Linked DNA regions of Diceros bicornis minor. The protein of the gene in region 1 binds, or shares a complex with, the protein of each later gene. Links are inferred from orthologs where the notes say so. Each region holds a gene or a part of one and is shown in the gene's direction. Other genes may lie near its edges. The genes, in order: NEDD4, GJA1, ARRDC3 and GRB10.

The links.
Region 2: the proteins of NEDD4 (region 1) and GJA1 are in contact, whole or in part, in an NMR structure (PDB 2N8T), measured with the Rattus norvegicus proteins. The link is inferred for Diceros bicornis minor from reciprocal best matches to the Homo sapiens genes NEDD4 and GJA1. Residues at the interface, in NP_037118.1 of Rattus norvegicus: Asp416, Asp417, Tyr422, Val424, Asp425, His426, Ser428, Lys429, Thr430, Thr431, Thr432, Trp433; in NP_036699.1 of Rattus norvegicus: Pro277, Leu278, Ser279, Pro280, Met281, Ser282, Pro283, Pro284, Gly285, Tyr286.
Region 3: the proteins of NEDD4 (region 1) and ARRDC3 are in contact, whole or in part, in a crystal structure (PDB 4N7H), measured with the Homo sapiens proteins. The link is inferred for Diceros bicornis minor from reciprocal best matches to the Homo sapiens genes NEDD4 and ARRDC3. Residues at the interface, in NP_001271267.1 of Homo sapiens: Glu847, Arg849, Ala851, Pro852, Phe857, Ile859, Asp860, His861, Lys864, Thr865, Thr866, Thr867, Trp868; in NP_065852.1 of Homo sapiens: Glu344, Ala345, Pro346, Pro347, Ser348, Tyr349, Val352.
Region 4: the proteins of NEDD4 (region 1) and GRB10 are in contact, whole or in part, in a crystal structure (PDB 3M7F), measured with the Mus musculus proteins. The link is inferred for Diceros bicornis minor from reciprocal best matches to the Homo sapiens genes NEDD4 and GRB10. Residues at the interface, in NP_035020.2 of Mus musculus: Glu71, Leu72, Val79, Arg104, Ser112, Ile114, Leu115, Thr116, Ser117, Val118, Gln119, Glu134, Ile135, Leu136, Phe137, Arg138, Leu242, Pro243, His244, Pro245, Pro246; in NP_001357532.1 of Mus musculus: Ile514, Arg516, Gln518, His519, Phe521, His522, Gly523, Arg524, Asp548, Gln579, Phe581, Gly587, Asn588, Thr589, Lys590, Phe591, Ser592, Ile595, Gln596, Asp599, Phe600, Leu603, Asn604, Ile617, Arg618, Val619, Ala620.

What each region holds. Positions count from the first base shown.
Region 1 is NC_080744.1:51,373,407-51,381,355, reverse strand, and holds the start of NEDD4 (E3 ubiquitin-protein ligase NEDD4), read left to right. Parts: upstream 1-4,937; 5' UTR 4,938-5,313; coding exon 5,314-6,873; intron 6,874-7,949. UniProt on the Homo sapiens protein: E3 ubiquitin-protein ligase which accepts ubiquitin from an E2 ubiquitin-conjugating enzyme in the form of a thioester and then directly transfers the ubiquitin to targeted substrates. Specifically ubiquitinates 'Lys-63' in target proteins.
Region 2 is NC_080762.1:15,391,673-15,399,189, reverse strand, and holds the start of GJA1 (gap junction alpha-1 protein), read left to right. Parts: upstream 1-4,515; 5' UTR 4,516-4,717; intron 4,718-7,517. UniProt on the Homo sapiens protein: Gap junction protein that acts as a regulator of bladder capacity. A gap junction consists of a cluster of closely packed pairs of transmembrane channels, the connexons, through which materials of low MW diffuse from one cell to a neighboring cell.
Region 3 is NC_080740.1:17,721,725-17,728,797, reverse strand, and holds the start of ARRDC3 (arrestin domain-containing protein 3), read left to right. Parts: upstream 1-4,056; 5' UTR 4,057-4,287; coding exon 4,288-4,567; intron 4,568-7,073. UniProt on the Homo sapiens protein: Adapter protein that plays a role in regulating cell-surface expression of adrenergic receptors and probably also other G protein-coupled receptors.
Region 4 is NC_080780.1:7,064,568-7,072,043, reverse strand, and holds the start of GRB10 (growth factor receptor-bound protein 10), read left to right. Parts: upstream 1-4,464; 5' UTR 4,465-4,528; intron 4,529-5,011; exon of another isoform or gene 5,012-5,237; intron 5,238-7,476.

The sequences.
Region 1 (7,949 bases):
ATATCATAATTTATGTGTTTATCATCCTCAATAGATAATAGTGTTGTTTCCCGCTTTTTGCTATTACCAGTTGATAAACATTCTTGCTGTGTTTCCTGACGTACGTGTTATGAGTGTATCTCTAAGATTCATATTTTAAGGTTGAATTGCTGGGTCATGGTATTACCAGTATTACTGGCATTACATGGTATTTTTCCTATTGTTACTGACACTGATGTGAATTTCTCCCTGATTCTTGGGTGCATCGTTGGTAAACTATTTTGTTTGAGTTATTCGCATGTTGTTCAAAAAGAAAGATAGCTCTTGTTTGTGCTTTCTACCCTGCTTAGTTGTCTAGTCTTTTTTGCCAGTAACTTTAGTATGGTGTGACTATTTCTTCAGTGCCAAAATTGATATTTGTCGTACACTGATTGGTCCGTTAACACTCCTTGAGGATTTACTATGTATAGCATACCAAACAGGGTGTCATATGTCAAAAGAAAAAAACATTGCCTGTGATATTGACAATGGGCTATTTCTAGAGTTATAACCGTGGTATAGAAAAATTTTTAAAACTTTTAAAGCTAAAAGCAAAAAGAAAATAATGCGTTGATCAGGATATTATAGATCCCTACCCCAAGGAGTCAGAAGTCTTATTGTAGTCCTGCCTATGATTTGATACATTGGCTTATAACCCTGGACAAATTATTCAATCCTTCTGAAAATATTTTCTTATGTTTAAAAAATAGGAGGCCCAGCCCAGTGGCATAGTGGTTAAGTTTGCATGCTCTGCTTCAGCAGCCTAGGGTTCACAGGTTCGGATCCCAGGCACGGACCTATGCACTGCTCGCCAAGCCATGCTGTGGCAGGCGTCCCACCTGTAAAATAGAGGAAGATGGGCACAGATGTTAGCTCAGGGCCAATCTTCCTCAGCAAAAAGAGGAGGATTGGCAACAGATGTTAGCTCTGGGTTAATCTTCCTCACCAAAAAAAAAAAAGGGATAATAATATTTGCTGATAAATGTATTGTGAGGATATAGCAAGATAACGGCTATCAAAGCACTCCAAAAATATTTCATCGTGATACAAATATAAAGCGTTATTTAACATTCATGGACTCATGCGTTTATGGCTTTCTGATACTGTATTTTTTGTGTTAACTGAGGTATGCTATTTAGGGTATCTGCTATGTTAGATACTTTCCTGTGCATTAGCACTATAGCTTTTCTCAAGAAGCTCACTTTACTAGCAAAAGGGAGCAAGAAATGATTAGAACAGGGCAGTGTGTGTCACTCTAATCCTCTGATTTGTTGCTAGTTCTAGCAGGTGATTGAAGTGTACAGATCACCTGAGATGTGATAGAAACTATAGCCATTGGTGGAGTAACAGGCTTGATTGTATAGCAATAAATGGCCTATGCCACTGTAAATGTCATTTTATCTTTATTCTCCTGTAGCATTCACAACTGAATTAAGAATGTCTCCTTTTCCTAGAAAATTCTCTTTGGAAATGTACAGTGAAGAGCACAGATATAATTTTAAGCAGAAGCAATTTCTAGTCATCTGGAAAACATTTGCAATGTAAGTGGTATTTGTTTCGAGAAAGAGTAGGCTTAAATTCCTTTTTTTCAGCCAATTTTAAGAACCTGAGAGTTAGAAACTATAGTAGTTTGGTTATGGTGATAGTGGTGGTAGTGGTGTTGATAGTGATGCTGTGCCTTTAAATGAGTTCTGCTCATTAATGCAAAAGTTAGTGCTTCTGTGTCACTACCTAAGAGCTGCACCTGCACACATCTAGCCTCTGAAGTTTGGGAGATGCCTGTATTCTTTATCCCGAGTGGAGATGCTATGCTTCTCAGGTTTAGTGGTTGTATTTGGGTTCTGGAGAGAAACAGAACCAATGGGATATACATATACACAGAGAGAGAGAGAGAGAGATTTATTTTAAGGCATTGCTTCACATGATTCTGGAAGCTAGTGAGTCTGAAATCTGTGAGGCAGAGCTGGCAGGTTGAAGATTCAGGTGAGAGTTGATGTTACAGTCTTGCGTCTGAAATCTGCAGGGCAGGCCAGCAAGCTGGAAACTCAGGCGGGGTTTCATTATTGTACTCTTGAGGCAGAGTTGCTTCTTTGGAAAACCTGTCTTTGCTCTTAAGGCCTTTATGTGAGTGGATGAGGCCTACCACATTATGGAGAGCAGTCTGCTTTACTCATAATTTACTGAATTAAGTGTTAATCACATCTAAAAAATAGCTTCATAGCAACATTTAGACTGGTGTTTGACCAAATAACTGGCAAAATAGCCTAGGCAAGTTGACACATAGAATTAATCATCACAGTGGACTTTGGCCTTCAAAGATCTAGTCAATGATTAGGGTTATCCAGAGCCTATCCATAGCATGTAGATAATCACATTATTTTCTGTGTAGATAATCAGTAACCAAACGTCTCAGAATGTGGGGTCCTGAGCTTCAATCTAATCCTAAGACATTATGCATTCATTCCTCCCACATAAGGGCTGCCAGCAGTCTCCAGCTCTTCTCCTCTTGAAGTTAGGGTTGATGTTCCTCTTTTGGCATCTTTTTGGCCAAGGGGCTACATTTTACCCCAGGTTCTACACATAACTGCTGTAATGGTGGTACAGATCCTGTGCAATCCCAGACCAGAGCCAGCAAAGCAAACTGCTCAGCCTCTAGAATTTAAACTCAGCCTGGAGTGCTAGGAAGTGCATATGATTCTTACCTCACTTTTCCTTGGCTGAAGCCCTCTTTGCAAATTTTTCAAGCATCATTCCTTCTGGTCCAGCTGCAATGTTTTTTGATTTTTCTTTAGAAGTGGTAGCTGGATCAACTTTAAAAAAATTCTGAAAGCGTTAGGAGGTCAGAGTAACTGCAGTGACCATCCATCCGTTTATCCAACTTCTGCTCTGCTGTTACCTAGTGCTCACTGTGTTGCCAGCATGAGCTCAGCAGGATCAGAAGAAATGTTTAGTTATGGTCCTCCTACTCTGGAAGCTTAAAATCTAGTTAGGGGACATGAAACTGACGCTTATAGAGGAGCTTCCCAAAGAGAAAACTTTTATCTGGCCAAATACCTGGGGTTCATTATTTTATGTTAACAACCTGAGGAGCTTTGCTTATTAACTGAAAGTTTTAGGCCACAGGCGTGAGCAGTTAGACTAGCTCATTGATTAGCCTCTTAGAAATGATCCATTCTTTGAGTTATCAGACCCCTAACTTAATTCAAGAAGGAAAGTTGAAGTCATTTGAAGGTAAAATGAAAAGATTAGGACTCTTCCTTCTATAAGGAAAAAGGATGATAAGGGAATATTTACTGAAGTGTGTAAAATCATAAAAGAGAGAAATTATACAAAACCAAAATAACTAATAATTTTATTACTCAGTTTACAATTATACATTCAAAAACATACTACTATCATTCTAGTCGGAAATATAATTTAATAAATCCCATGTTTCTATTTGGCCATGTCTTAACTGATTAAAAATACTGTTTAGAAAATTGTGATTGAAAACAGATTTATCTTAAGGAGTTTTTTTTTTTTTAAACAAAGTGCAAGTATATGTTTTACATATTTGCTTTTACTTAGGAAAAAAAAACTTACCTAGAAAAATACAACTTGGGTGTAGTACCATGTGGTGTAAACAACTGAACTATTTTACTTTACTTTCCTATGAATGAGCCAGTATATATTTATTACTGGAGTTCCAGCTATAAAATTCAGGTAAGGGGTTTAAATATACCCTAGAGTATTATTTAAAAATAAATTTGTTTCTTTCAAATAGAATGCCAACCTTGGTCCATGACATGTGGGGGAGAAATTAAAATATTAAACTTTTATTACCTAGTAAACTGAAAATAAAGTAAAGGTTAAATAAATACAAAGCAGAAAATATATATATACAAAATCACAACCTCTAAAAAGACAAACAGTCTACTGTTCTCTGCTGTGGGAGCTTTATCAACAGTAGTAGTAAGGAATTCCACCTCTAGGGCAGTGCTAGTACTCAAAAATGTAAACAAGTGTGTACTTTGTTTATATAAAGAAATACGCAGCATGGTTTTTATTTCTTTGTAGATATCAAACAGCTAAATGGATTGTTTCAAAGCACCAGTAGGGGCCAGCAAAGAGCTCCTAGAGTTTTTCAGAACAGAATTGGCATTGAGATATGTTTATTTGATGTGTTAAATCCTTTTTAGACTTCTTTACTTACCACAACACTCTTAAGTGAATGAATTGCAGAGACAGTGGAATAAAATATCTTGTGTGCTCAAACTACATTGGGGTATAGTTTTTCTGTCTAATCTGCATATATTTTTAATGGAATGTTTGCTTAGGCTGTTTTTTGGCAGAGTTGTGATAGTCAAAATATAAATGGCATCATTTAAAGACTGTACTACTTGGCTGGAAAAGGCCTTAAAATTACAGGAGAAAATGCCTGGTGACAGCTTCTCTTTAACTTTTTTTTCTCAGACGTGTGCTCGATTTTTGCAATTGTATTACTAGGCTAATTTTGTATTTCTATCCTTAAGCGTTCACTTTTTATAAGTAGTGTTTTGGAAGCTAAAATATTTATCTTTATCTATTTGATTTAATGCTAAAGTTTTAATTCACTCCAAAGTTTTGGTATTTCCAAATTTATACAACTATTTGAACTTACTCATTTAAAAAAAATTTAAGTCTATATTCCTTTCTACATTAACTAACTTGACTAGATTCCTAGTGTGGCTACTATTTGGAAATTCAATCCTTTATTTGATACTCAATTACATGGGGTTTCGTTCCTACCAACTTCCTGTAATTCTATCCCTATGGGTAAAAATATTAGTGGTCAAACTCAGCTGGAGAAAGTATAGGCACCGTGATTCACATGGTTAAATGTTCATTTAGTAGAGCTGGAGTGAAAAAATACTGTTTCAACTTGAAATGCTAGAAGATTGTTGTTCTTGTGTTACTCATTCATGCAAATTGGAGAAGGTATAATTGAAACAAGGTTGGCAGTGTTTGAGGCAGTGTGCTGCAGCTGAGCTCAGCTTAAAGGTCGCTGGAAATCAAGTGCTTTGTAAGTGAAGGCATTTTGACTACAAGCGATTCAAGACATTTTGGAAACGTCAGTCTCAGGAATGGGTCGTCTTTTTCTTTCTGTGATATCTGGTATCTAATGTTTTACTTAGGATAAAGACTACTACTTAAGAGCTCTTTTAGGCACCACAAATGATTTTTTCTTTCAGTGCAGTGCAGCTGCTTCTAGCCTGTCTACAGACAGAGATCTTTGTTATGACTTTTAGCCCTTAACATGTTTGGAAATGAGAACAAATGGCACAAAGCTTACGATTGCACTTTGCAGCCAGAAGAAGCAATACTTATCCTTTGTCAGAAACCTCCGGAGATGATTTGGATAGCAGTGTTCACATGTGCTTCAAAAGACCAACACGGATTTCAACGTCTAACGTTGTTCAAATGAAGCTGACTCCCAGACAGACTGCGCTAGCTCCGTTCTTAAAGGAGAACGTTAAGTCTCGGGAAAGATCATCTGTTCCTTCACCTGAAAATGTTAATAAAAAGAGCAGCTGTCTACAGATTTCACTACAGCCAACAAGGTACAGTGGATGTCTTCAGTCTAGCAATGTCTTAGCTGATGGCGATGATGCTTCATTTGCTTGTGTCTTGAAGGAAGGCATTTACAGCATTGCTGAGGTTGATAATGAACTGAATGCTGTGAATGATGGTAACCTTTTAGGCAGTTCTGCCATTTGCAGTGGTAGCCTTAGTAACTTTTCAGCCAGTGAGAATGGGTCTTACAGCAGCAACGGTAGTGATTATGGGTCATGCACGAGTATCACAAGTGGAGGTTCATACACCAACAGTATCCTCAGTGACAGCAGTGGTTATACTTTTACACCAACTGATGATACTTTTTTTGGTGGAAATTTATCTGCGGACAGCACCTCCAATAGAAGTGTGCCAAACAGGAATATTACTCCATGTGAAATTTTTTCAAGAAGTACAAGTACAGTTCCGTTTGTCCAAGATGACTTGGAGCATGGACTAGAGATTATGAAATTGCCAGTGAGCAGGAACTCGAAAATTCCACTAAAACGTTGTTCATCCTTAGTCATTTTTCCTAGGAGTCCTTCAAATACTCCACCAACTTCTCCAACAAATACAGGTACTCTTCCAAGCAAAGGATCCTATCAAACCTCACACCAGTTTATTATTTCTCCTAGTGAAGTTGCCCACAATGAAGATGGTACTAGTGCAAAGGGATTTCTTTCAACAGCTGTCAACGGACTTCGGTTATCTAAAACAATCTGTGCTCCTGGAGAAGGAAGAGACATACGACCACTTCACGGGAAGGGCTCATTACAAAAGAAAATGGTTGTTGCAAATAATAGTCCAAATCAGACTGTCTGTGAAAAGTCATCTGAAGGATATTCTTGTGTTTCAGTGCATTTCACCCAACAAAAAGAAACTACATTAGATTGTGAAACAGCAAATGGTGATTATAAACCAGAGATGTCAGAAATTAAGCTTAATTCTGGTTCAGAGTATATTAAGCTTATGCATAGAACATCTGCATGTTTACCATCCTCCCAAAATGTAGATTATCAAATAAATATCAATGGACAGTTGGAAAGACCAAATTCACAGATAAACAAAAACCATGCTATCTTACAAAGAAGTATTTCATTGGGAGGAACTTATCCAAATGTTTCCTGTTTATCCAGCCTTAAGCACAATTGTTGTAAGGGGGGACCATCTCAATTACTTATAAAGTTTGCATCTGGAAGTGAAGGTAAAGTTAATAATTTATCGAGAGACAGCAACAGAGATTTCGCAAATGAACTGTCTAATTCTTTGAAGCATTCTTGTGAGGTAAGTTTCCTCTGGTCTCAGTAAATATTAATTTATACTAGAATAGCTTTATGAAATATTTGTTTAAAATTTATTATAACTTAGTAGTTTTATATACTTTTCTGGTCCTTAGCTAGCAAATATTCTGTAGTCATGAATTTTATATTTGTAAATCTGAAGAATCCCCAATAGTTTTTCACTCTGTTATTTTACCAATATAGAAAATATGCATTAAAAAAAATAACTTTCCAAAGTGATTTAAGCCATAAAACATTTCTGTAGCATAAAAATAAGCTTTAAATAATAATTTATTTTGTAACATTTTACCTTGGTATATTTTTTAAGTGGCATAGTATTTTAATGTCTAACTCCATATTTATTCCTACTTTCAAAAATGCTCATTTGGTGTTCTCCCCTCCTTAATCATTGTGAAATAAAGTGAAATATAGGATGCTAATTTAAAATATTAAACAATAAAAAGCCCATATAAAAATGGGAAAAACTTGTTATAAATGAACATAGAGAAAGTGTTTCTCTAAAATACACGTATTTATTAGATTATTGATAAAAGCTATTATGCTGTATGTTTAAAGCAGAGGAAAAATAAATGGTATTTGCATTTGTATATACCTTAACCACAGGAATTTTGTTTCCACCCTATTTTTCTTTAGCTACCCGTTAGGACTGCTATCTAAAATGTAACTCACTCTTTGAAGGATATTGAATTCTAAATTTTATATTTTTCAATTTGGTTTCAATTGCTACGCATTTCCCCTAATTTTCTAGCTACCTTATAAATTTATTTTGATAATTTTGCTTTATTATATTAGTAACTTGACTCTAATGACTCTTAACTAGAACAGCTCTTTATGTAATTTGGCCTTTCCAGAGTATTTTAAGCGTTTTGAATTTAAATAGATTTTTTAAATTTCTGTATTTGGAAAGTCTTGCCAGATTTCAGGAAATTAAGAAATTTTTCTGACTAAACCAGTACTAAATGACAGTACCTAATAGTTTGGGGGAAAAAAACTTATCTGTGTTTATGTAACACTTAATATCTATATTAAAGATTTTTTTAAAACTTCTGGACAAGTAGC
Region 2 (7,517 bases), on another chromosome or scaffold:
ATATTACTTTTCCCACCATTATTTGCTTGCTTTTTCAAAATTCAGTTAAAGGAAACTCAAAGCCTAAAGCTGAATGAAGTTCAACCTGATACTGTTTTTGTCTTTACCACATAACTTAAAAATCCTCACTAGCACAGTTCCTGAGACATAATAAACATTTCCTGAGTGAATGAATGTAAACATTCACAAATGATCTAAAAATTAGCCAAGCTTAATAAAAAAGGTGCAAGTTTTTAAAGTGAAAGTATTAAATGGTTTACCAGTTACTTCCTATGATGTTCATTTTCACTCTGTACAGAAGGGGGAGCCAAACACATATTTATCCACTGGCTGGGATTCTTTCCCATTAAACAAAATAAAAAAAATTCTTCCCTTTACAAATACTGTTTTTGTCTGTAGCCACACAGTAAGATTCACTTGCAGACAGATGTGAGCTACACAATGAGTTCAGATTTTACCCAGGTTGAGACAAACTTTGATCCTTAAATATCTCTTAGAGATGATAAAATACTAAGTAAATGGGAAGCAAGTTTCAGTTGTCAGATCCCAGAAATACATCTATTGAGAAAAGATTCTAGCCCAAGTCGGTAATATGATGTGAAATCTTCACTAGTCTAAAGGAAATATGGTTGATCAACAAACAGTCATGTTAAGAACACATTTTCTGGCCACTTAGGTAGAATATTTCTGAACTTGCATAATATTGAGGTCCAAATTAACTTTTTCTCCTTACTGTCCAATAAATATTAGATAAAATGGAAATTTGGTGCATAGAAAGGATTATTCCAATACTAATGGAAGGAAATCCATAAGACAATGCTATCTTATTCCAATACAAATTCATCCTAGACCCTTCCAGTCTTAGATAATCCTTTTATGCTTCTACAGCTGCCTTTGGAGTTCCCCACAGGTACTGCAAACTTTTCAACTCTGATCAACTTGCTCTTACTTCAGAGTCAGCTGATAACTTCACCTACTTTAATTGAGAAGTTACCTTCAATTCTAGCTTCCTAATGCCTCCACTCTCTAGCTCGAAACATTTTTTTTCTTTATAGTCTATATTCACTCTTGTTTTAAAGGAAGACCTGTCCTTTTTTCAAAGTTAAGACTCCCCCAGTACCCGGGTGATATTTTCCTTACAAATAAGCCTACTTGTGGCCATTTTAAATACCCTTCCCTTTCCCCAATTCTAGGCCTCTTTTCTTATTCTTTTTCTTTGCCTGCATTAAATGAGGAAATCCACGAAGGCTGTGTGTATGTTCTTTCTGGCACACTGCCTACATCCTATCTCTTAGTAATCTCATCTGTACCTGTGGTTTCAATGACCAATTCTATGAATATAATCCCAAATTTTACAACAATTTTAACCCGAACTCCACAGCCCGTGTCTTGAGTTGCCAGTCAGATAGCTTTCCCTAGATGTTTCAGTTCTTCATACCAAAATATTCCAAATTGAAATCATTAAATTTCTTTTAGTAAATCAGTTCCTCCTCCAGACATCCTTTTTGGTATTAGTAACTTTTTCCCAGTCAAAACTCCAAAATCAGTTTGCACACCTCCTATCCCTTGTCCTTCCCATTCAATCTGTCATCAAGTTCTGATAATTCTTTCTTACTCCTATATCCTACTTCAGGTCCTTATAACTCACTCCTCCACCATTACAATATTCTCCTTACTGATCTCCAATTTACAGCCACCAATTATTTTTGAATGTTGTTGCTATTCATTGAAGTGAGAGTAATCCACCAGGGTTTGAGTGAGATAGGCATCTAAAATCCTTAAAAATTAATCCATTTATCTCTTAAAATTCCAGACATTGGTATTTTGAAACAAAGGTAAAAATCAAACAATGCAGTTGGTTGTCACGTTAAGAAATACTTCTCACAATTCTGAAAAAGAGTTTACTTTCCACTGTGACAATAATGTGCATTTCTCAACTAGCAGAGCAACATGGGTAACAGAGTCTGAGGCCCAGCTCATGGTGGTGCCTAAAGAAACTCTGCAAGAGCTGTAAATGGCTGTCCTCATCCCTCAAGAGCAGTGTTGCCTGACTAGCAAATTAGGCTGCATCCATTTCTTCTGCATAGACAAGGCCTGGCAATCAGAGAAGATACAGCTCTGGGAAGTCAAGTATTTATATTAATGAAACCGGATTGGCATTTCTGAGAATATGAGAAAAACACATTTTAAAAAATCTATCCCACAAATTTTGCAAACCACTACAATGGAGAGCAGCTTCTAAGGTCAGATAAGTGGGATTCTTTATAAAAGCAAATTATTGGTCAAAATGCAACTCACCAGCACTGCTAGAGTATGAAAAATAATAGGATAGCCATTTGGAGAAGCAATTAGGTGTCCATGACAGAAAACTGTTATGTTCCAACACGGAAGCCATCACAGCAACCCAGCTCTCCCTGAGCATTATTACTCATAGGATCACATTTTGGCGCCATTATTCCAAAAGGGAGAAGATCTCACTGAATGTCTTCATCTTTTATGAAGGATCATGGGAAAATCATTTTAGAAATACAAGATATCATACATCCCATATGTTAAGAGAACTAATTATTTAATTAGTGGCTCATGCTATGGTCAATCTTTATGGCTTAGAAAATGGTTCAAGGGATATCCATGAGTAACTTTAGAAGTTCTTTAGTTCAATTTCCAATTGGTCATATAGGCAATAGACTAAAGAGAAAAGGTAGCAGAATGCTTAGACATCAATATCCTTTTATAGACTGAACAGAATATAATTGGAAATAAACACAATTTTTCGCTTTAACAACCCTGCTATAAGACAGTTGCAACTTTTCTTTCATGCAACTAATTGTGAATTAGCATTTTAGGAAATCTTTTTCATAAAATGAATAATTTTAGTAATAACTCTACTTAATAAATCTACAAAAGTAAAGGAAATAATTATGTAAATTAAGTGAAGCATAGACTTTTTTTAAAAAAAGGGGGAAGAAAAGCAGATTTTCTTATAATAAAAAGATTAAATCACATTTTCATGAATGTATTCTGAATCTAAAGAAATAATTTTTAGTTAGGACAAAACAATAGACTTGTTTGAAGGAAAGGACACTATAATACAAGACCAAAACAATATTTATGGGTTGCTGAGGTTGAAGACTTGAAAGTCAGATTACAATTTCTATATCTTTTTTTCCCCTTTTTTAACTTAAAGAAATATGTACCCTTGGAAATAGTATAGCCAGCAAATGAGAGAGCAAAACTATGTCTTAAAACTATAACATTTCAAAAGGTGTTTTATTAATTATTTTAATGAAAGTATGTTTAGGGAAAGGTATCTATCAGGAAATATTTGCCTTCTTCCTTTTTTCTGATATTTGTATCAGTGAGAAAAGAGTAAGAAATAAGGCTGGATGAGTTTGCACTTTTTCCAGAGAATAATGGCCAAGACATTTCCCCATCCAACTTCAGGAGCCACACTGAAGCCTGTTTATGGGGCATTCGCCTATCACAGCCTCCTGGTACGGCGTCTGGGGAGTACTCAAAGGAGATACCCACCCTAAGAATGAGGCCACAGGACTGAGGCTATTGCAAACCCTAATGCAGAGTGCTGAAGAGGGATGACCAGGGAAGCGGTTGGAAAAGAGCATAAAAATTATATGCACAGCTCTACTGTCACTGGGCAGAAAATTCTCCAGTGGATTTTAGAGAAGGAGATGGTCTCAAAGAGGGTCGATAGTTTGGTACCCACTTAATGCCGATTTAACATATGAGTATTTCACAAAAAATATTCTGACATTTCACTAAAAGAAGACTTTGTTTTTAGTGCAATAGTATGAATGGGGCTGAAATATTGTAAATTTTCAGTTCCCTGGAGATCTGGTAGATGTCAAATTATGAAGATTTCACAGTCAAAATGTATTATATATTATACAGTTATAAATACAAATACAGTTTTTGCTAAACGAAGAAAGAGTAAAAATTCAAAGCAGTCAAGGTGTTGGAAGGTGGATCTGGGATGGGCGTTTTTGAAATGTCTCTCTCTCATCCCCACCATTTCTTTTGTCACTTGTCCCTACATAAATTAAAAGGCAAAGAATTAGATCATCAAATAACTCACTCACACCCACCTTCAACTTCACACACCTCGGCCAATATGAATCAAGTTTGCACTGGCTATACTCTTTTCATCACTTTTATTTACTGTAAAATACATATTTTTTTTACTTGGGAAAAGGTTGTAACATTATAAAATATACAACTTTTTATTATCCCTGGACTTTTGATGAAACAAGCACTAATAAAACCAGTAATTGTTATCTGTAAAGAGTAACTACAAGTAGTGGCATTCACGTCTCCAATGCTATTTCATTGCTCTCGTCAGCAAATTTAAACTACAACTTTATCTCGACCTGGCTAGTCCTCTGCCTGTTTCCCTCCACCCTCCGTGTTCACCGGCCGCCTCTCCACTCTCCTCCCCTTTCTTCTGGCTCCTCCTCCCCCTGTTGAGTCATTGGCTTGAAACTTTTAAAAGCTCTGTGCTCCAAGTTAGAAAAAAGCTTTTACGAGGTATCAGCACTTTTCTTTCATTAGGGGGAAGGAGGGAAGAAAGTACCAAAGAGCAGCAGACTTTTAAACTTTAAATAGCCAGGTCTGAGAGCCTGAGCCTGCGTTTTCATTGTATTTCATCCTGTAAGGAGCTGAATCACTTGGCGAGCCTACTTCACTTCTTTTAAGAGAAAGAGTAAGTTAAAAAAAAAAAAAAAAGAAATACTTTACCTATCTGTTTCTTTTATTACAAGTAAAACTTTTCTAAAGTTTTTGAATGTGTTCAGTGTAGCTTTGATAGGATGCTGTAAATGGACTGATGAAAGTGTTCCTGCAGTTTTCAGGTTAAAAGTGAACGTTTGATATTTACGTTTTTGACTTAAAATGTTTCTACGAAAAATGCAACAACAGGTAAAATAAGATTCAGACCTTTCTGATTGGAATACAGCATTAGTTTACTGGGTATTTGGTTCTTCATTTTAGAGTATACTTTTACTTTTTTTGTAATCAGTAATCGTCTAGGCGCTTTGTAACTTGTTGGGGGAAGGGAGCTCAGGGGCCTGGGATGCGGATTTGACTGACAACATCACCAAAATCAAAGTGCAAATTTGCTTAGCGTGCTTGCTATAGAATTCTACGCTTTGTGCTTTTTCATATGGAAATCTTGATTGATGTTCCACAGCCTTGCAAAGCTGACTTCTTAAGTGCTTTGTTAAGCCCTTAGGGTTACTTGACTTCCACGTGGTCCCTTCCTAAAATTTTCCCCTGTAAACAAAAAAGTAGAAAAATCAGAGTTGTAATATTGAAGTTTTTAAAGCAACAGTAAATAGTTAGTTCGTGTAAGCAACCACTATGGAAAAATCTGAGACCCTCAGGAGAGCCACCTTTTACTCGACCACGTTGACAATTCAGGAGATGAAATCCCTTGAATTGGGTGATGGTTACTTACAAAGTATAAGAGGGGGAGAGCAGACGTTTACAAGAGTGTATGCCAGGGTGCATTTCCAAAACCGTCGCCTAAGACAGGAGCTGCTGGAAAGAATATGAAACGAAATTTCTTAAACGGTGCCTTGGAGGAAACTAACCTACCCCACGCCCTTCCTCCTGTCCGAACCTGTAATAGACTTCAGAGCTCTGGGGCAACTTTTTTGAGTTGGTGCTGCCACTAAGCAAAGATGACGCTGATTTGTCATGAAAAACGGTTGAATTTCTTAATTGCTCTTATGGGTAACACACATTCTGTTAGCCAGAAATGCATTTTCGTGCCCGGGAAGGAGTCTGTCTAACTCCACAGACTAAAGTAATGAGTTTAAATTCCTGGTGCGACCCTGCAGTTTGAAGGAGTTGCACCAGAGAACGCTGAAAAGCAAATAAAAATGAAAGCGTTGCGGAGGCGGGGGACCCGACGGGGGCCGGCGCGGGGCGCCTCCTGCCATCTTAGCCTCCGCCCCGCTCGCCCCCGGCTCCTGCGCCGCCCGAGCCGCCGGGCTTTGGAGAGGTTTGGCGAGGTCCCTCAAATCCTTCCAAGTGCAACCGAGCGCAGGTCCGAGTTCCGCCGCTGAAGAGGAAGGGGAGGGGGAGAGGGGCGGGGGGGGATAGACTGCATGCCCAATGGAGAAGAGGAGCAAATGATTAATTGAATTAAACGTGTCGATCTAATTTCCCTTCCCTTGCCTTCTCTCTCATCCCCATCCACAGTGTCCTCCTTTTTCGTAAACTTGTTGAATCCTACCGTATGAGCATTGGTAAGGGAACCTGAATACCGCGGGGCTTACCTAACCGGCACCAGTAACTCTCCTGGAAGTTCTTGAAACTTCCCAAGAATGGGGGCGGAGGGGAGGGCGGGGGAAGCCCGGGAATGAGGCTAATGACGTGGCCTAAGGCAAGTGAGTACAGGATTCCGAAACTCAGTCAGTTCCGAGCAGGGGGTCTCCCACACTGCCCTCAGCCGTCCAGCTGTTTACAGGACATCTCTGATAAAGCTTATCAGAAGCGCTCCCTGAACATCCTCATCCTCACCCTAAGGGTGCCCGTGTTTCTCTCTACAAGAGCAAGTGGGGGGTGAGAGCTATAAACTGCGGGGAAAATAGACATGGCTTTATTTGGAGGGGGGTTTAATTTCTCTTGCTTGCCTAACCAAGTTAGTAATGAGAAGATGCTTAATCTCACCCTTGGAAAATTGAGCCCGCTTGAACTCAGTCAAAAGTGCCCCGTGGCATATGAGATGTTTTTTAAGAAGCCTAATTTTTAGCTTGGTACAAAGATTGCTGAAAATAAATCCTGTAGTAATGCAGAGAAGATCTCATTAAACTGACTCCATTCCCAAGAATAAAATAAACCAGTTAGATAGAAATCACCTCTGGGGAAGAGTAATTCATTTTTCTAGGTAGGCCCAATTGACTGAAAGCTATACAAAGGGCAGGAAGTACGTTCTGTCTTGGCGATGTGTTGAATTCTGTACTGCTGGAAAGTGTTCCCCCGATGTGTGATGCTTTGTACTTCCCTAAATCAGGCTAGAGTTGTCGCCTGTCCTTTGCCTGGAAAATGCAGTGGTGGTGCTTTGCTCCTACTTTCTTTGCTGTTTAAATTGTTCCACAGTTTTCTAATACCTTTTATAGTTTATCACACAGCTCCCCCATCCGCTCAGTTCCTCACCCTTTGCAAAGGGATTCCTACATTAGCTACATTACCGACCCTCCCCGGGGAACATGGTTCCCAAGATTCTCTGTTAGCAAGCATCTACAAGGGTGTGTTTTCAGATATCCAGAATTGTTTTGTTTCTTAGATGTTTCCAATTCCTGTGATGGAAAACTCCCGATACAGTGCATTCCTTCGTTTCTTTTATAATATCCAGAGGTGTAACTTGGTATGAGCCTCAGAGCCTTTCTATCTGTTACCCGAGGGAAAGGAATGATAGGCAAGTCAGCAGTGATTAATACCGAGTACTCCGCCTTTCCTGTTCTGACTTCCCTTCAAGATTCTCTCCTTGTTTGAAG
Region 3 (7,073 bases), on another chromosome or scaffold:
TGTCTATTAAATATGAAGAATGTAATAAACATACCATATAATTAACTATCAAATAAAAAAATCTCATTCATTTTGCTAATATTATAGCAAATCTTACCTCCAATCTCCACACCAATGTCAAATTTGTTGCATTCTGAAGATATTAAAGAGTTAAGTCAGAGTTACAAAATCTTGAAATACAAAATTAAGACAAAAAACAAACACACAGGAGCCAGGCCCATGGCATAGCGGTTAAGCGCACACGCTCCGCTGCTGGCAGCCCAGGCTTGGATCCCCGGGCGCGCACCAATGCACTGCTTGTCAGGCCATGCTGTGGCGGCGTCCCATATAAAGTGGAGGAAGATGGGCAGAGATGTTAGCCCAGGGCCAGTCTTCCTCAGCAAAAAAGAGGAGGATTGCCATGGATATTAGCTCAGGGCTGATCTTCCTCACCAAAAGAAACACAAACAAAACCTCCCTTAGTTCTACAGCACTGAAGCCTGTCAGGTGTTAGTTAAAAGAAGAATTAAGCAAGGATTTCATATTTTTCTTTAAGAAACAGATTCTGACTGCTGGTATGGTTTGTCTTACAACCACACACCAAAACTTGCAGTTGAGATGGCTTGCTCTGTTTTATAACAATATTGAGCATTTCGATATGAGGAAAAACTCCAGACTTGGCAGGAATGTTGTTGTTTGTTTTTGTGTGTGTGTGTGTGTGAGGAAGGTCAGCCCTGAGCTAATATTCACGCCAATCCTCCTCTTTTTTTGCTGAGAAAGACAGGCCCTGGGCTAACATCTGTGCCCACCTTCCTCCACTTTACATGGGACGCCGCCACAGCATGGCGGGAGAAGCGGTGCATAGGTGCACTCCCAGGATCCGGACCCGGGCCGCCAGCAGCGGAGCCCGTGCACTTAACCGCTACGCCGCGGGGCCAGGCCCCAGAAATTTTGACATATCACCTCAATATTAAATATCTTGATAGCGATTATCATTTTTCAGTTTTTGACAGAGTTCTTGAGATTGAGTTTAAACCTTTATACAGCAAGCTGGAACAGCCATTGAATTTAAAATCCAAGAAACAAATACCATAAAAAGAGATTCCTATTAAAGCCTTGAAGAAGATATAAAAAGGGGGAGGGGAAGCTGGTTACTCTGTCTAGTTGGAATTTTATTCAGTTGCGCCCACTAAATCCAGTGGAGGGCTTAGAAGAAGGGAGAGGAGATAACAGCAGTGGGATGATGTTCTGGGCACAGAAAGCAGCATGTAACTGCACATTGGCAACAGTGAGACAAGCTAACAAAGGGGACAGAAGATGTACTTGACAGGAGCATAGAGAGTTAGCAGACGAGGAGGAGGAGACGGCATACGAAATGTAGGCTGGGGTGCAGGAGGAGAGAGCATTGCTGCTAAAGATGAATATTTAAATTTAATGCAAAACACAATAAGGGCCAGTGAAGCAAGTCCGGAAGCCCTGGATAACAGCTACCCTACGGCGTTTCAAGCTGTCTCAAGGGTGTATTTAGACAGGGAGTCTTGAAAAGGGGAGGTTATAAAAGTTGAGAGAAAACATTCAAAATTTAGTCGAAAGGTTTTTTTTTTCTTTTAGAAATAAAAACATAAACGTGGCTTTAGAGCCGCCAGTTTTTTGCTTGTTGTTTGTTTCTGGTGTTTTCATAGTTGGAATAAATAGGAGGAGGAAAACAAAATGAAGCAAGTAAACTCAAGTTTAGACTATTTAGAAATAGTCATGTGACCACAGCCAGAGAGAAGAAATGTGATAATTAGGGTGAGTAGGATCTTAAGCAAAAATGATAGGGATAAGAATTTCTTGGCAACTTGTCAGTTACTGAAGTGTTTAGGAAGACACAGTAAAAGGACAATAAAGAGAAACAGCAAAATAAATAATACAGACAATCATTTATAATATCCTAAAAACTTCAAACAGAAGGAATAATGTAATATAGTGACAGGAATTAAGCATTTCATGTGCTACAACAGTTTTCTAAACCACAAGTAAATATGTTAGGGTTCTTTTTGGTTAAATGCAATTCTAGTTTATTTAAATAACTGATTCTTATTTTTTCAGAAATAAGTTATATTCCAACTGGAGAAATTTTACAAACATTCTAAAGAATTAAGCCATTGTTCACCAGCCTTTAATAATTTAAAACAAATTTAGTAATGAAGGCCTCACTGGGCACTGCACTTTTAAATCTATTCCTTACCCAATGTTATTTCAATGCTTAATAAATATCATTCCACCTTAACGCTGAGAAGCTGACATTTTAGCAAATTCACCACTTCTACCACTAGGTGGCGAAAAAACCCAAGTAGTATCTGTGATCAAAGCTAGTACAAGATCCCAAGTACTTGAATAACTAGAATTTCCACCAGGTGTCAACCAAGAGGGGAAAAAAAAAAAGACTATTTTTTCCCACTCAAATACACAATTCATAGTTTCAAGCATAACCATCTAAACTCTGAGTTAAATGGCCTGCCCATTAACTGTACAAATAGTTTGCACACTTATACTCCATATGTTACGCTGTTGAGTCCAAGATACTGTCTTGTCAACTAAAAGCCAACTAAATAAAATTTAGTTTCTTCCCCGGCCCCCAAAAAACAGCAAGACCAATGAGTTCAGTTTATTGTGAATCATAGGTTCAACCTATCCAAATATACTGCACAAAAGAAACCAAAATGTGTTAGACATGGACAGCCAAAAATCTTCCAAAGTGTATTTGGTTATGTTTATATAGTTCCAGATGCATATTTTTTTGTTTCTATATTTCTCTCTTATAAGCAGCTTTGTTGATCGCAAAAAATCTAGGTAAATTTATGCTACTAGGCCTTGAATCCCAGTCTGATATTTTCTGAAAGCATTGCCATTTGTTACCAAAACGGTCACAATAGAGACAAATGTACCTGTCTTTAAGATTATGAGAATTACTACGTGGAACAGCCCAAGGCTGAAAATTAAAATTAAAGTTTTATAGAATTAAGCCCTATTTATATATCAAAGCATGCTTTTTAAAAACTATCTTATGCGCTTCACTAATGTCTAACAAAGATTTTTCGATCTTCTTGTAAACATTATGTCAGCTAAAGCACTACGTCACGCTGCCTTTTATAAGGTGGGACTTTTTTAGGGCAAAGTCTATTCTTAATCCTCTGGACACAGGAGTTGTAATCATGTCATACCCTGCAAATGGAGCTGTAGGTGGTGTCTTAAAAACAGGCTTTTTCTTCCTTCGAGGAAGTGGTCAAGCCTTTTTTCCCCCCTGGTGTCATCATGCAAACAACTTGGGTTATTTTTCGCTGCTATCTAAGAGATGGAAGAGAAAACAAAACCTACTGATTAAATTATACTTGCTTCTCTTCCTTGCTCCGTACAGTATTCTCTTGAAAGTTCCTTTGCCGTAGACTGAGTTCATTTCCACCCTGCCTACAAAATACTAGTTTAAAAAAAAAAAAAAAGAACCAAGCCAAGAATGCTCTTGTCTCGGAACATCATTTCTTGTCTGCTTTTTATTATCTTCTTGGGAAATTCGTTAGATTATGCTGAGCAACCGGCCGCTTGCCCAACCGGTTTCTCCCCTACCCCCATCTCTCTTCACACATCACTTTTTCTTCCTCCCATCCAGGCAGTGGGCAAAACCCTGCAGTGCCGGTAACGCACGCTTCGGGCCGCTCACCCCGCAGTGCATCCCGACTTGGCTTTGCGAACAGCTCCCCACTCAGCCCTTCTCCCCCAGGGCCCCCTCTGCCATCATCTTTCCACACGAGTGTGCTCGGTAAGGGGCTCCAGGTAAGCACGTCGAGGGTTTACGGTAGCCTGCCTACCAATAGGAGCCCACAATGCAGAGAAGTCAGGTTCAGCCTCCCGGCAGCCCCAGAGCCGTCTTCCCCTAGCTGCACACCTACTGTACCCGCGAGCGAGCGAGCGAGGGAGCGAGCCCGGCGCGGGAGGGGGCGCGCAGGGAGGGCGGGCAGCAGCCGCGGCGCGTGCGCATGCGCACTGCGGTTGTTTTTCACAAAGCTGCTCTTAAAGTGAGCTGGCAGCCTCCAACCGCCCGTCTTTGTAAGGAGACCACTGAGACTAGCGGCAGCGCGGAGCAGCAGCCTCTCTGCTCCCCTGACTTTTTAAGAAATCTCAATGAACTATTTGTAAAGAATCACTGATCCTGCCTGCAAGCTTTTTGCACGGCAAAGACATCGATCAGTGTTAAGTGAAGATCACATTTTATATGTGATCTTGACTTTTTTTGTCTTACATTATATTTTTATAGATTTTGTTATAAACATGGTGCTGGGAAAGGTGAAGAGTTTGACAATAAGCTTTGACTGTCTCAATGACAGCAATGTCCCTGTGTATTCTAGTGGGGATACAGTCTCAGGAAGGGTGAATTTAGAAGTTACTGGGGAAATCAGAGTAAAATCGCTTAAAATTCATGCAAGAGGACATGCGAAAGTACGCTGGACCGAATCTCGAAACGCCGGCTCCAATACTGCCTATACACAGAATTACACTGAAGAAGTAGAATATTTCAACCATAAAGACATCTTAATTGGACACGAAAGAGGTAAGTTTTTATATTATTCAGAAATCATTAGACCTGTTTTCCTTGAGAGAGTGCCTTTTCAGTTTTTCTAAATTAATGTAATTCTACTTCCAGCATAACACAATTCTACTTCCAGCATAACACATAGATAGCAGTTTGATAAAGATTAGCAAAGTTGGAAGATTTGGATTCTCCTTGACATTCATCGTGTGTTAAGCTGTAATGCATGCAGGCATCTGCAAAGTGACTGCAAACTGCACTTAATTCAACTACCTCTATAGCCGGCTTGGTCTGTGCCATACGCACTTGCAATCCATTTGCACCTTACTTATGAATTCTGCTTAAATCCGATTCAGTAGTTTTACTAATATGGTTTCAAGTGAATTGCTAAAAGCTGTAGTCCAATATTAGATTTTTTCCTTATACTCTGCAACCTTAGATGTTAAAAACTAAGCTTCAGTGAAGAAATGGGATGACGTTAAGTGGGTTAATAGGTGTATTTCATTTTTAATATTGACACGCAAAAGTCTTTAAAGAATTGATCATTGTTCTTTGATATGAAGGGTTTCTGTGGCTTATTTTGACATATGGTATCAACACCCCACGTGTTTTTTCCCTATTCTTTCCAGTTTCTTTAGAAATTTACATCAAGCAGTCTCTATTTTAAAAGACAGTATCTATCATTAGGATATGTTTCAAATCAGTTTTAGAAGCCATTTAGGGTCAGTGATGTTCTTTTCCGAGCATCATGTCTAACTTTGGAACGTGCATTCAATGAAACCCTTGCCAGTCAAATGGAACTGAAAAAGTATTCGGCACCTTGGATTTGATTTTTTGCTTAAAAAAAGGAGATAAAGGGTTGTCAAAGGGAGAAGGGGTCCTGAGATTTTCAATCTATTGTTTAAATGGTTACATTGTGGAAATATAGAAGACTCTAAGCTTGTTTTTCTAAGTTTCCACCCTTTGTTAGAAGCGGTTCAATCCTGTTTCGGACCAGTTCTGGGGGGTGGTGAGGAGGGGCGCTTGTTCTGCTCTCAGCAGATTGGTTACACGCGTCAGGTGGTGGCGATGACTTAATTCCTAACCCAAGAAGAATATAATGTTAAAACTGGTTATGTAATTTTGTGCTTCTCCTTTTTAATGCAGTATTCAGTTTAAATGTTGACGATTTTTCAGAGTAGAGCACATTTTACCTTATTTTTTATATTAAAAAATAGACCTCCATGAGGAAGTGCTAATTGAACTAAGGCAAGTGTAGAAAATGAAGGATGCTTTGAGTTACAGCATCAATGCGTTACTTTTTAAAATATTTAGATGAAATCAATTCTTTAGTTTGGTTTTCAGTTACATATAGGTAATTTGCATCCTGAAAATAATTTCTGGTTAATCTCACCAAGCGGTAACACCGATAAGAACTGTAAATGCCCAATGACAGTCCTGGTGTTTGTTGAAAAGCAGACACATGAGTTTGTGTTTGACCATTTCTGGACATTGCAGCTTTTGATAAAATGGTTGAGGAGAAACAAAGGTTTCTAAGGAGTTGAGGCTTGCAGTGGGGTAAAAGTAGAATAACGACTAATAGGCACAAACACAATTTCATTAGTTTCTCCGTGATTTCATGGTAAAGAAAACTCCGTGCCCCACACCCTACGAGGTGCCCCGCAACCCCTGCAAAGCGTGGACGAGCTCTTAGACTGGAATAGTTTCAATGACTTAAAACTGGGACCTCTCAAACTAGCCTGGTTCCCGAGACCCCGCCCCGGGCACGGCGATAGGCGGAGCCGGGTTTGTTAGCCTGTTGCTAAGGCGATGCCAGGCTCTGATTGGATTGGGCGCGGGCGGGTGGGGAGAGTGGGCTTGCGCCGGCTGGGGCGAGGCTTGGAACCGGCGTGCGCCGGTAAAGGTCCCTCCAGAGCTGCCTCCGCCGCCCGACTCGCGTCACTCCCCGGGCTTCGGGATGCGCCGGGGGCTCATGTCACAGAACGTTCTGTCGCCCCTCTTGGGGCCCCCGAAAGAAACAAGTTCAGGTTCCAACAGCATAGAGGGCAGAAGCTCCAGCAGGCCTTACAGGTGCCCAATGGCCCTGGTTGCAACTTGAGCTTGCAGTCCTATTCAGAGGGAACTTGGGTGGGCAGGGTTAGCAGGACCCCGTTCCTGTTCGGGTGGAAGGCGTCAGGTAGCTTCTGTGAACGCTTGTTTTCCTCTTAGCTGAAACAAAGCGTGTTTGCCGACCTATGTAGTCACCAGACGGGCTACCTTGATTTGACCTGCGGGGGGAGAGTGCAAAGGCTGCCACGAGGGGAAGGAAAAGTGGTATTAACACGGAGAGCAGGGTGGGGGCCTCTGCGAGTATCCCCTGCCCCCTCCCCATTGTTTCCTGGGGCTCTGCCCTCCCCCCTCACCGCCCCAGTTTCCCTCGCCGCAACTGGAAAGGTGTCAGGGTGGCCCGAGCCAGATAGAACCGGTCACCGGCTGGGGCGTGTAAAGCGGAAGCGCTGCGCCGCGGCGGCCCCGCCCCCAGTGCAGC
Region 4 (7,476 bases), on another chromosome or scaffold:
GTGAATGGATGAACAAATTGAGGTACATCTATACATGGAATAGTAATCAGCATTAAAAAGAAGCAAGCTATTGGCCCGGCCCCGTGGCTTAGCGGTTAAGTGTGCGCGCTCCGATGCTGGCGGCCGGGGTTCGGATCCCGGGCGCACATCGACACACGGCTTCTCCCGCCATGCTGAGGCCGCGTCCTACATACAGCAACTAGAAGGTTGTGCAGCTGTGACATACAACTATCTACGGGGGCTTTGGGGGAAAAAAATAAATAAAAAAAAATTAAAAAAAAAAAAGAAGCAAGCTACTGATTCATGGAACAAGATGAACTTCAAATGCATTATGCTAAGTGAGAAAAGCCAGACACAAAAGACTCCATACTGTGTGACTGTGTTCATATGACAATCTTGAAAAGGCAAATCTATGAGGACAGAAAGCAGATCAGTGGCTACAGGGAGTGGGCAGGGTGACTGATTGCAAGGGGGCCAGAGAGAACCTTTTGGGGTGATGAACTGTTCTCTATCTTCAGACCTTGTGGTGACACAGCTGTACACCTTCAACTCCACAAAGTGTGGTTCTTCCTGAAGGCAAATTAAATCTCAATAAACCAGACTTAAGAAACATCGTTCAGTTAGCACCTGTTTTGGTTGTAGAGTCATTTTGATTCAAGCTACCTCGGGAAAAGGAGAGTTTATATTAAGACATCATAAGGAAAATGCAAATCTAAAATAAGAGTTGCAGGAGCCCAGGCAAACAGAGACAGGAGACAGAGGGCATCTATTTGGTGCTTACTTTTGCACCTCCCTTCATATACTGAGCCCAGCTCAGCTGCTCCTCCCCTGATCTCCATTGTCCAGGCCCCTCCAGCACCTCCAGTTTAGAATTCCAGGTGCAGGCATCTGACTGCCATCCTTCCACCCACTGGCCAACCTAAGGAGTGGCAATCTTTGGGTCAAGTGTCATCCCCCAGCAAATCAAGTGCTATGCAGAGACCAAGGAAAGGCAGGATTGTTGGGGTCTGGGGACAGTTCCACTTCTGACGAAATTGTGCCAGTAGGCCCCATGATGGGCAGATCTCATACCCTCCCATCACCACTGGGATAAAGTAGAATCGCCTGCCCACAACAAGTGGCCTGATCTCCTCTCAAGTCTCCTGATGCCCCATGTCCTCCAGCCCCAGGCCCAGCATTCTATGATGAAATGCAACTACTTGAAAATTCTTTCTTGGCGTTGGCGAGGCCTTTCCCTAGACCTGGAAGTCCTCTTTTTTTAGGTCCTCTTTGCAGAACCTACCATCTTGGATGGTCTAGGACTCCACTGGGGCATTGCCACCACTGGGAAGCCTTCCCTGAATGCCAGGCTCCCACCTCTATACTGGGGGGTGGGGGTACTGTATGTCTCTTGTTTAGAGGATTCAAAGAATCTCCATGTTTGGAATACTGGCGCGCATGTGGATCCTGGGGAAGGCTGTTAAAAATGCAGATTGACTCTGAGGGGTGAACTCTATAGGACGGGGGTGGGGGTGAGCCCAGGTGTTCTGAGGCAGGCATTATGATTGTATTGTGATTGCAGATGAATCTCTGCCCCATGGTGAGTGGGTGAGTGGGTAGTCCTTAGTGCTGTTGACCACTGGTTTCCAGCTCTGCCTGCCAGGTACATGCATACCCTCCAACCCAGTGCCCTCACCCCATGGGAGCAGACGTGAGGGCCACTTCTGGTTGGAGCATTTCACTGCCAGGGTGCTGTGTCTTGTTCTCTTTTCCTTTGCCAAGGCTGCTGGCAATGTTTGAGATGGTGCCCGAGTCCCAGGGCGTATCATTCATTTACTCCTTTCATTTGCTCAACTGAAAAATTCATTTGCATGATACTCTTTCCTAGTGGTGACTTATTGCACTAGTGCCCGCTCAGTGCCAGGCACTCCCCCTGCTGGGATAACACCAGCGAACAGCATGTGGTTACTCTTGTCACATGCTTACAGTCAGCAGAGGAGGCAGATATTAATCAATTTGTTACTAAGTATAATTCGAGTCTATCAGATTCTCTACTTTCAGCTGAAGGAACCTTCTAGTACATGGTTGGATAATCAATTCCTCACTAATGTGACATCCCGTGTCCTGTCCTGACACTTAGTTGCAGCAGTACATTCCCCTTGTGAAGCTCTTGAACACAAAGCCACACAGCCCTGCCCCTGTAGGCTGGGTTCTCCGGGGTAATTTATATACTGCACGGCTGTATTTCACCCTGGCTTCCATCCTTCTGAGAGGGAGCACGTGGCCAGTGGGCATTTGGAATTTGCAGCAGGGGAAGTCACTAAGGTGCAATCTGCCCACAGGATTGGCTCGGCCAGGATCACTGCACAGAGGACAGCTGCAGCTTTACAGCCACAAGAGTGAAAAGTTCATGAACTTGTACCATAAAGTGGTACTGAGCAGGCCCTGCCCAGAAGGGAGAGGCATTCATGGATGTCTACACAGAGCCGGGAAATGTGGGGAATGAGGGCCCATCCTAGGAATTCTGGGCATCGATGTCAGCATGAAAACACTTGAGGACATTTATTTTGATCCCTTCCCAGTGAATAGTAACGTTTGAAAGCCCACACATTTTGAGACAGCTCAATGCAATACCCGACCCGGCCTGGATCTTGTGATGGAGGAGAAAGGAATACTATAAAGCGCACTATCAGATCAACTGATAAACGGGAATATGAACCTAGATCAGACACACGTATTTTATCAATATAAATTTATGAATTTGGTAACTGTACTGTGGTTACGTAAGATAATATCCCTACTCTTAGGAAAGACATAACAAAGTATATAGGGATAAGTGGCTACAGAGTATGGAACTTACCTACAAATGATTTAGGAAAAAGTATGTCTACGTCTATCGATGCTTCTCAGACATCTATAAAAGCCCTCTGCCTGTCAGGCTTCCTGGCTGGTGCAGGCATTCCTTGCTGACCGGAGCCTTCAGCAAAGCTGTAAGGGTCAAAGCTTATACACTTGTGAGAAGATGGCCAAAATCGAGTTTTCTCTTCTTTAATTTTCTCTTGATCCTTTGTCTACAACGGGAGTCCTTATGTTCCATTCTCCCAGGAATCTAAGCTCCTTCACATCATTCTCTCTAGATTCTCATCCCATGGGTTTCGGAGCTTGGACCAATGAGTAGACATTTTCGGGAGGCCTATGTCAGTTACAGGAAAGGATGACCTTTCATCGATACATCAGCCAAAGGTGGAAAAAGCAGGAGCTATAAAAAGTGCCATAAAGGGCTCTGGCACAATCCTTACTCTGCGCTTACCAGCTACTTGACCTTAGGCAAGTTATTTCACCTCTGGGAGATTCGGTTTCCTAGTCTGTACAGTGGGCATCTCCCAGTAACAACCTCAGAGGCCAGAGTGGGGTTACATAAGAGGATTAATGAATGTTTGGCACAAAATGTGTGCTTAATAAAGGTTAGTTATTATTGTAGCTGCTTTTATAACATCAAGACCCAGGAAAAGACATAATTATTTGTATTATAATTTTGATTCGCTAGAGACATTAATAATCATATTAATGACAATGGGGTTCCTTCGTGCCAGTCACTTTATGTTACAGGTATGACCTCATTTACCCCCCAGGACATCACTTCAGGTGGGCCTATTAGTCCCTTTCAAAGATAAGGACATTGAGGCTTGGCAGCATTGAAAGAATAGGTAGGGCCTCCCCACCTCACCCGCACTCCGGCGCTCACATGCAGATAGGGAAACTGAGGCTCTGAGAGGCGAGACCCAGACAGGGCTGGCTGTGAGCGGACACTGTAGGTTTCCCTTTCCCGGGCCGGGACCACCAGCCCACGACAGAGTCCCAGCAGCCGCAGCTCATCCGTCTGTCCTTGTCTTACGCCCAGGATAAAGGATTTGGACAGCAGAGTTAATACTTTGAGTTTCAAAGAATTCGCTTACAAATTGCCTTTCGGGATAGGTCCGATGTGTCTTTCGCGGGCGCCCGAGCCTGGGCTGTCGGGGTTTCGTGTCGGGGGTCCCAGGAGGCAGGACGACCAGTCTGGGGGCCCACGCCGGGCTGTCCGTCTCCCGCGCCGGCCCGGGCAGCGGCCGCCCAGAGGGTCAGGCGCCCGCGCCCGGTGCCCCGCCCTGTGCCCAGGCCGCGGCTCCGCCCGCGCTGGCGGCCGCCGAGCGATCCCGGCGGCGGCAGCGGCGGCGGGAGGAGGAGCAGGAACAGCGGCCGGGGGAGGAGGCGGAGGCGGCGGAGGCGGCGGCGGCGGGCGGGGCCCGGCGAGTTTAAAGCTCATCGCGGGGGTGGGGAGGCCGGGAGGAGGCGAGAAGGGACGAGAGCGGCGTGCCGGCGGCGGGCTCGGCGCTCGGAGGCCGCGGAGACCCGCGCGGGGCCCGAAGTTTGCGCGCAGCCCTCGGCGGCGGCGCGCGGGGGCCGGACCGCCCTGCGCGCCGCGCTCGCCCCGCGGGACCCGCGCCCGCCCCGGCCGCGCCGAGGGGCGCCGGCGGCCTCGCGGAGGCGGCCGGGAGCGGCGCCGCGGCAGGTACGGAGTTGGGCGGGGAGCGCGGCGGCAAGTTACTTTGTGGTCGGCGCGGCCGGGCCGGCGGGCGGCGGGCGGTCCCGCGCCGGCATTGTCTGCGCGCTGGCCGCCCGGGCCGGGGACGCCGGGCGCCGCGGGGGCGCGGCGGGCGGAAGGGCGTCGCCTCCGGGCCGGGGGCCGCGGCGCGCGAGGCGGGGACGGGCTGCGGGCGCGGCGGAGCGGGGCGCAGCGGACTGGGCTCTGCGCGCTGCGTCCGCGACCCCGGGAGCTGGGGAGCCGGGCGGCGCCTGCCTGAACCATCGTGGCCGACGCCGGCCGCTCGCGGGCCGGGCTGGGGTGGGGGCTGCGCCGCCCGGCCGTCAGGGCCAAGGCCGCGCTCCCGGGCCGCCCGCAGGGTGGGCGCCAGGCGCCCTGCCGCCCCCGGTGCGCCCGCGGCCGGGGCGGCGGGGCCGGACGCCCCCAAGCCGGAGCGCGGCCCAGCCTCGGGATCTTTTTTTTTTTTTTGGTTTTGTGAGTGACCCCGTTACCCGCCGCTGGGGCCTAACCCCGAGTTGAGGGCTCTCGGATTAGCCGCCCGCCAGCCGTGGAAATGTGATAAGAGCCGTACCGTTCGCAGAAGGAAATTTCTGATGCAACTCGCCGCTTTTGCTGATTGCCTCTCCAAACGCCTGCCTGGCGATGGCCCACGAGCATGTGCGTTATGGAAATTAGGGTATTCTCTACTTTTTATTGTGTTCGACTTGTTTGGGGATTGGAAGAAACTCCAACTTTTGGTTGTTTGCTTTAACCGAGACGTTGGGTGATGTAGGGGAGCCACAGGTGACCTTTACAGGGTCCTGGATCTTTACGATGCATAGGAAAGAATGCTTTCTTGCAAACGTTGTGTCCAGTTTCATTCAAGAGATGCAAAGAAAAGACCAAAACAAATAGCGCTCGTGAGTAAATATGCGTTATTGCACAACTTTCTCGTTGCTGCTGTTTACAAGGCCGGGCCCGGAACACTTTGTTTCTGAAAATGCTGATTCAGCCGTTTGGAGCCCCCGAGTTTCATAAATGGTGCTCTATTGAACGTTTCGCTCAGTTTTACTAAGAACACATGTTAGCGCAGCAACAGGCGTTGACTAGGATTTGCAGCACAAAGCTGGTAATTTTTCGCAAGAGTTGACCTAGGCTCCCCCTCTTTCTTTCCAGGAGGGAAAATAGGTAGCATCTAGGTTTCTATAGCAGAAGAAATTCTGACTTATGAGGGTGATGTAGTGTCTTTTAGGGGAGTATATTATTAAGTAAAAACCCTGAAACCAAATGTGTTTCCTGGAGTGATTCTAGATGACTAGGTTTTTCTGTTAAAAATCAGAAGTCTAGGATTCCTGTACATAATATTTGAGTTTTACTGGGAGCACTTGAAAGAGAAGGGCCACACAGACCAATCCCCAGATTACAGGGAGAGAATTTGAGGACAGAGAGTTACACACCCAGCAAGTGTGCCTGTGTAACTGAGAAGTGTAGTGACTGAGACTTCTGTAGCATTTTACAGTTTACCTGGCACCTTCAAAGCCTGGTTGCTTTTAATCCTCTACAGCCCCCTAATCCCCATTTTACAGATATGGAAACCGAGGCTCAGGAAGTTAATTGGCATGCCCAGGGTGACATGGCCAGCACATGACAGAGCTGTTACCAGAGCCTAAGCTTTGCATTTTTTAAGTTCTGTGTTTTCTGCTTCTGTACAAGTACATCTGCCTCTGACAGAGAAATGGCCCGGAGAAGATCCGCCTGCCAGTCGCACACCCAGAGAGCTAGGAGGCTGTGTTACCATTCCTGTGGCTCCCAGCTTTCCAGATTTCTGCCATCTCACCAGGCCATTATCAATATTTTCTTTTGTCCACTCACTTTTTATACTTAAATACACGTTTATTTTGGGAGGAAACTTTGATATCTACAAAGTCATGAGTTGGATATGGTAGTTATGTTTATTATAATTAAAACAATGTTTTAATAAAAGCTGTCTACTATAGTCGTCTCTTGCATATCATCCGTGGTCTGTACCAGTTCTAGGGCATCACTGGGCTGGGCAAAATGTCTTTCATTTGTGGAGCAGGAACCCAGAGCTGGGCAGGTTCATGCTGGCTACTTGTCCAGGGCTTTGTATGGTGGTGGCCACCAGGACTGGAAGCCAAGGCAGCCCTGGCTCAGTTCCAGTGACCGTCTCTGTGGCCAGTCAGCCTCCAACAGGAGGGAAGAGCGAAGTCAGAATCCAAGAGCCAGCATAGAACTTTTGATTTTGATGATGTGGCTGGTCTGAGACTTTACAATGTATAGAAACCAAACTCCTTAACAAAGACATCTGTTGTGCCTTCAGCCTCATCTTAGAGCTGTAGAGGCTCTGGGTTGGTATATCGGGTCAAACATAATGTCTTGAAGGTGGCATAATTTAAAGAACTTATTTCCTTGAATTCTGTCCAACTCTTAACTGCAGGGGAAGGAAAACCTGCACAATGGTCGGATGTATTTGAGCTTGTGTCTAGGGCTAGCTGGCCTGCCTGTCAGAACTCAGAGCCCACTGCAGGGGACTTCTGTCCTGCTTCGTGGGAAGGAAGCTTGTGCATTTGCGGTTTGCTGCATAATCCCCGTGTCTGTTTCTTAGTCTTAAACCAATGTGAAATTGCATAGGCTCGTGAGGAGAAAATATTTGCCTTGTCTTTCATTTAAGTAAGCAGTCATGTGTTCAAAATTTAAATAAAACTTTTCTGCTAGTGGAGATTTTTTTAAAACCTGTCTTTATTTTTTTGCTTAACTGTAGAAGTGTGGGACATTAGAGAAGAAATGAAGACAGTCAAGCTATTTGATGGGAGAGGCTTGGGTGCTTTGGGGATCTGGGAACCTTGTATAAGGTCTGAGCACTGATGGATGTATAACTGATCTGATCCATTCGAGCACTGGCTGCCTTTTAATTT